Macaca fascicularis: one gene and its partner. The protein of the gene in region 2 interacts with the protein of the main gene of each other region in a pairwise test. Links are inferred from orthologs where the notes say so. Each region holds a gene or a part of one and is shown on either strand. Other genes may lie near its edges.

Evidence for each region.
Region 1: the proteins of SIAH1 (region 2) and PEG10 interact in binary tests that used the Homo sapiens proteins (3 or more experiments, as listed by UniProt). The link is inferred for Macaca fascicularis from reciprocal best matches to the Homo sapiens genes SIAH1 and PEG10.

What each region holds. Positions count from the first base shown.
Region 1 is NC_088377.1:126,682,948-126,686,603, reverse strand, and holds part of PEG10 (retrotransposon-derived protein PEG10), read left to right. Parts: intron 1-478; coding exon 479-1,679; coding exon of another isoform or gene 1,680-2,827; 3' UTR 2,828-3,656.
Region 2 is NC_088394.1:44,266,496-44,269,536, forward strand, and holds the end of SIAH1 (E3 ubiquitin-protein ligase SIAH1), read right to left. Parts: intron 2,563-3,041; coding exon 1,712-2,562; coding exon of another isoform or gene 1,609-1,711; 3' UTR 638-1,608; downstream 1-637. Other genes in the region: LONP2 (lon protease homolog 2, peroxisomal), read left to right, coding at 1,609-1,728. UniProt on the Homo sapiens protein: E3 ubiquitin-protein ligase that mediates ubiquitination and subsequent proteasomal degradation of target proteins.

The sequences.
Region 1 (3,656 bases), on a different chromosome or scaffold from region 2:
TTTTAATACTCCCCTCTTTTTTAATTAGCTTCTATTAGTTGTAGTATTAACTATTTTTGGCCTAGCTTCTTTAGTAAGAAAAGTTATTATTTTGGCTTTAATTTGCATAATTGATTTGGTATCTATGTTTGCCTTGAAGTTTCTTCCTCTGTTTCAATACAAAACTACTTGTTTAGAGGGTTTCAACATTCTTTTATAGTTTATAAAGGTAAGCATGCTGTTGATGATGTATTGTTGAATCATAATGAACAGGTGGCCTTTGAGGAAGACAAGGTCATTTGAACATCAAAAAGTAGTTTCCTTTTTGTTATCTATGGTACTGATTGATACTTTTCTCTTGAAAGTTTGTTTTCTTTGTTCGCTAATTATTAAAGTAAGTGCATAGAGCAAGGGATAATTTAAACACTAAATCCTTTGTGTCTGCATTTTGCTGCTTTGAATCTATAAGTTGGATTTATACATTTATCTTTATTTACAGAAATAAGCGGATTTTGAAAACAAAAAAAAGAAGGAGTGGAAGAGGGGGCCAGGATCCAGGCCTCCATCCCCACAGAAGTGAAGCTACAGCTGGGAGGTCTCCTCCCACCCCAACCGTCACCCTGGGTCCCGACTGCCCACCTCCTCCCCCTCCCCCTCCCCCCAACAACAACAACAACAACAACTCCAAGCACACCGGCCATAAGAGCGCGTGTGTCCCCAACATGACCGAACGAAGAAGGGATGAGCTCTCTGAAGAGATCAACAACCTAAGAGAGAAGGTCATTAAGCAGTCCGAGGAGAACAGCAACCTGCAGAACCAGGTGCAGAAGCTCACAGAGGAGAACACCACCCTTCGAGAGCAAGTGGAACCCACCCCTGAGGATGATGATGATGACATCGAGCTCCGCGGTGCTGCAGCAGCTGCTGCCCCACCCCCTCCAATAGAGGAAGAGTGCCCAGAAGACCTTCCAGAGAAGTTCGATGGCAACCCAGACATGCTGGCTCCTTTCATGGCCCAGTGCCAGATCTTCATGGAAAAGAGCACCAGAGATTTCTCAGTTGATCGTGTCCGTGTCTGTTTCGTGACAAGCATGATGACCGGCCGTGCTGCCCGCTGGGCCTCAGCAAAGCTGGAGCGCTCCCACTACCTGATGCACAACTACCCAGCTTTCATGATGGAAATGAAGCATGTCTTTGAAGACCCTCAGAGGCGAGAGGCTGCCAAACGCAAGATCAGACGCCTGCGCCAAGGCATGGGGTCTGTCATCGACTATTCCAATGCTTTCCAGATGATTGCCCAGGACCTGGATTGGAACGAGCCTGCGCTGATTGACCAGTACCACGAGGGCCTCAGCGACCACATTCAGGAGGAGCTCTCCCACCTCGAGGTCGCCAAGTCGCTGTCTGCTCTGATTGGGCAGTGCATTCACATTGAGAGAAGGCTGGCCAGGGCTGCTGCAGCTCGCAAGCCACGCTCACCACCCCGGGCGCTGGTGTTGCCTCACGTTGCAAGCCACCACCAGGTAGATCCAACCGAGCCGGTGGGAGGTGCCCGCATGCGCCTGACCCAGGAGGAAAAAGAAAGACGCAGAAAGCTGAACCTGTGCCTCTACTGTGGAACAGGAGGTCACTACGCTGACAACTGTCCTGCCAAGGCCTCGAAGTCTTCGCCGGCGGGAAACTCCCCGGCCCCGCTGTAGAGGGACCTTCAGCGACCGGGCCAGAAATAATAAGGTCCCCACAAGATGACGCCTCATCTCCACACTTGCAAGTGATGCTCCAGATTCATCTTCCGGGCAGACACACCCTGTTCGTCCGAGCCATGATCGATTCTGGTGCTTCTGGCAACTTCATTGATCACGAATACGTTGCTCAAAATGGAATTCCTCTAAGAATCAAGGACTGGCCAATACTTGTGGAAGCAATTGATGGGCGCCCCATAGCATCGGGCCCAGTTGTCCACGAAACTCACGACCTGATAGTTGACCTGGGAGATCACCGTGAAGTGCTGTCATTTGATGTGACTCAGTCTCCATTCTTCCCTGTCGTCCTAGGGGTTCGCTGGCTGAGCACACATGATCCCAACATCACATGGAGCACTCGATCTATTGTCTTTGATTCTGAATACTGCCGCTACCACTGCCGGATGTATTCTCCAATACCACCATCGCTCCCACCGCCAGCACAACAACCGCCACTCTATTATCCAGTAGATGGATACAGAGTTTACCAACCAGTGAGATATTACTATGTCCAGAATGTGTACACTCCAGTAGATGAGCACGTCTACCCAGATCACCGCCTGGTTGACCCTCACATAGAAATGATACCTGGAGCACACAGTATTCCCAGCGGACATGTGTACTCACTGTCTGAACCTGAAATGGCAGCTCTTCGAGATTTTGTGGCAAGAAATGTGAAAGATGGGCTGATTACTCCAACGATCGCACCTAATGGAGCCCAAGTTCTCCAGGTGAAGAGGGGGTGGAAACTGCAAGTTTCTTACGATTGCCGAGCTCCAAACAATTTTACTATCCAGAATCAGTATCCTCGCCTATCTATTCCAAATTTAGAAGACCAAGCGCACCTGGCAACGTACACTGAATTCGTACCTCAAATACCTGGATACCAAACGTACCCCACATATGCCGCATACCCGACCTACCCAGTAGGATTCGCCTGGTACCCAGTGGGAAGAGACGGACAAGGAAGATCACTATATGTACCTGTTATGATCACTTGGAATCCACACTGGTACCGCCAGCCTCCGGTACCACAGTACCCGCCGCCACAGCCGCCGCCTCCACCACCGCCGCCGCCGCCGCCTCCATCTTACAGTACCCTGTAAATACTTGTCATGTCCTTCAGGATCTCTGCCCTCAAAATTTATTCCTGTTCAGCTTCTCAATCAGTGACTGTGTGCTAAGTTTTAGGCTACTGTATCTTCAGGCCACCTGAGGCACATCCTCTCTGAAACGGCTGTAGAAGGTCAGGGCCACCCTGGACTGGCACACATCCTAAAGCACCAAAAGACCTTCAACATTTTCTGAGAGCAACAGAGTATTTGCCAATAAATTAGCTCTCATTTTTCCACCTTGACTGCCAATCTAACTAAAATAATTAGTAAGTTTACTTTCCAGCCAGTCCTGGAAGTCTGGGTTTTACCTGCCAAAACCTCTGTCACCATCTAAATTATAGGCTGCCAAATTTGTTCTTTAACATTTACAGAGAAGCTGATACAAATGCAGGAAATGCTGATTTCTTTATGGAGGGGGAGACAAAGAGGAGGAGGAGGACATGACTTTTCTTGCAGTTTCGGTACCCTCTTTAAATCACTGGAGGACCGAGGCCTTATTAAGGAAGCCAAAATTATCGGTGCAGTATGGAAAGGCTTCCGTGATCCTCTCGCTGCACCCTTAGAAACTTCACCGTCTTCAAACTCCATTTCTGTGGTTCTGTTAATTCTCAAGGAGCAGCAACTTGACTGGTTCTCCCAGGAGCAGGCAAAACCCTTGTAACATGAAACATCTCAGGCTTGAAAAGAAAGTGCTCTCTCAGATGGACTCTTGCATGTTAAGAGTGTGCCTTCACATCGTGGTGCAAATCACATGTACCCAGGACTCCGGCTTTGACATAACACCTTACCATCATCATGCCATAATGGCGTCCACGAAGCA
Region 2 (3,041 bases):
ACAGTACCAATACAAACCACACAAAATTATCTTTCACTATTCAGAAGGCAATTTCAGAATCTTGCCATGTGCCTCAAAGTAATTAGCAAGTTAACTACATGGTACTAAAGGCATAATGGTAGCTAACATTCACTGGATGCTGATATGAACAAAGCACTGTTTGAGGTAACATACCTGTACCCCATTAAAACTTTTTAAGTAGCTACCATAATTTAACCCCACTTTACACATTAGGAAACTGGGGCCCAAGGTCACACAGCTGGTTAGTGGGGTAGAGCCGAGACTGGCACTTAGGTGCCTGAAGTCTGGCTGCAGAACCAAGGCTCTTAACCACTAGGCTATGAAATAGTAAATTTATTATTTCATTGTGCTTTTTTAAAGAGGTGAAAAGTGGTCAGCATTTTAGTCATTCTCCTGACAGTTGTAAGAATCAAAATGTGGGCAAGAGGGGCAGAGCATGGGAAAGACTGTAATCCAGAAGCCATATACCCAGTTATTTGCTGTGATTTAGAGTATAACTCTACCACACTTAAAAATGACAACACACAGCTTTCTGCTATATAATTAAAGTACGGAATGAAACAGGAAAATAACTTTGGATTTTATCAAACTTAGAGCTAAAGCAGACACAGTAAGATTTTTTTAATTTGCCAGAAATTCTTTTAATGAGAATTATAAAAGACCAAAAACATTTTTTTGCAAACTGCCTTTTTAAACAAATGATTTGCTTTTAATTACAAATACTGTGCATGACGATGCCTTCTTTTGCAAAACCAATAAATACAAGAACAAATTTTAAACATGTGATTTATCCAAGATATTTGAAAAAGGAAACAAAAGCCTGATTTGCAGTACTTATAAAAATCAATTTATTCTCTAACCTTTCAAAGATTAAGCTCAAAGGTGTGACTCATCCGTAGAAGAGAGAAAGAGAGAGACCATCTTACAGATGCTTTAAATAGCTTTTGATCATTTTTCCGATGTCACCTTTACTTTCTGGAACTCATAGCTTCACAAAGTAGCTGATTTTAAAATATTTCTAATGAACTGATTAATGGGGGAAAAGAAAATATTGAACACATGTTACAAACTTTTACCATAACAAGTATGCATATCAAAAGACACTAACTTTAAAATGGTACAAAAAAAGTGAAGAAAAACCTGAATTACAGAAAGGAAAGTCAAATTTATTTAATGAAAAACTAAAATTAATAAAAATTAGCAAATACACACACAAAAAAGCACACAGCAGCACTATGTATTGACTCACAAAGGGGAAAAGCAGTGGCCCATGACCACTCAAGATGGCTTGTCAGTTAAAGGAGAAAAACCCAAACACGCACACACCCACGCACGCACACACTCCCACGCAAAAACAAAACAAAATAACTATTTTTCAACAATACAATCAATCTACAACAAACACAAAACTCAGAATTATTTTACAATGCTTCCTTTCTTAATACAAAAGATGCCCATCTTGGGTGTATATACATATATTTTTTCAGTGGTTTACTGTTGACTTATTTTTAAATATATTAGTGTTACTACATGCAACTGTTTCCTGTATTTAACAGCCTTTCCTTTCATTTACCTTCATGTGTCTAGCTTCCACCTACCAAAAGAATTTTAGGTTGGCAGGCAGATGGGTGCCTTATTTTCTGTGAAACTGAAGTTTTAAACACTGGCCAGAAAATGTTTGATTGCCATTTCAACACATGGAAATAGTTACATTGATGCCTAAATTGCCATTTTCTGCAAAAAGCTGTGCAATGCTGGTGTCAAAGACTAGGCAGTCGCTATTCATAATGGCTGTTGCAATTCCTTCATGAATAGATCGAGGAGTCGCTTCCCAAGTCAATCGTCGCCTGTGACCATTTAGCTCAAGTCGGTAAGCAAAATTTTCAGCTTGCTTGCGTGTTCCTATCAGCTGTACAATTGCAAAGAACTGCTGGTGACCATCGTATTTTTCCTGTTTCTCCAAGACTAACATGAAGTGAAAGCCAAAACAGGACTGCATCATCACCCAGTCAACAGCACCAGGAAGATTAATGTCTGTAGCAAGGAAAACTATATCCTCTCCCTGTAGGGTTGTAATGGACTTATGCTGATGCATCAGATGGGGCATTACAGCATCCAAAGAGCCTTGCCATTTACAGGAAGCACCAGGGCACGGACAGGAATAAGGCCTAAACTCACAGAGCTCTTCGTGGTCTGCTTTTTCTGTGTGTGGCAGAGTTATTTCACATCCAGAAGAGGCATATTTACAGGGGAAAAGTACTGAATTAGCCACTTTCTCCATAGCCAAGTTGCGAATGGATCCCAAAGGGCCCCGGCAAGTTGGACAACATGTGAGCTTTGGGCGACAGTTGCTACAAACAAGATGGCCACTCTGACATTGAAGAATGGGTGGTAACACATAGTCAAAGCAGACTGGACACTCAAAAAGACTCGCCAAGTCATTGTTGGATGCAGTTGTGCCAGTCAGGGCAGGTACCCTCTGGGATGGTGGACACTTCGAGGTACCGGTAGGTAATGCTGTAGCAGTCTGACGGCTCATTTCTGAAATAAATACATAAGGAGGCAGGAGAAAAATAATTATAACCATGACTTATTTTACAAATAATGTTTACATGCCAGAAGTACTTAAAGTTTCATGCAAAATTTACTGAGCAAAAGAGAAAGAAAAATAAATAGAATTTAAAAAGTAACATACTAAAAAATAAAATTACACTGAATGTGCACTTTATTAGGATCTGTACACTGGATAAGCTCTCTTTTCAAAATATTCCGGAAAACATTTGGAACTCCCTTAATCGTCTTTGGATAGACTACATGGAATAATAAATGCTAAAATAGAAGATGGACCATAAACAACTAGAGAAACTATACAAGGAACTGAAGTTTAATCGAATCCGTTTTGCTAGGACTCTCTCCCTGAGACTCCCTTACTCTTATTTCTTTCTAATTTGGAGTCAGCTATTGATAGGTATAGGGAGTTACAGGTGAAGTCCTGGATAAAATCGGCACTCTGTATTCAC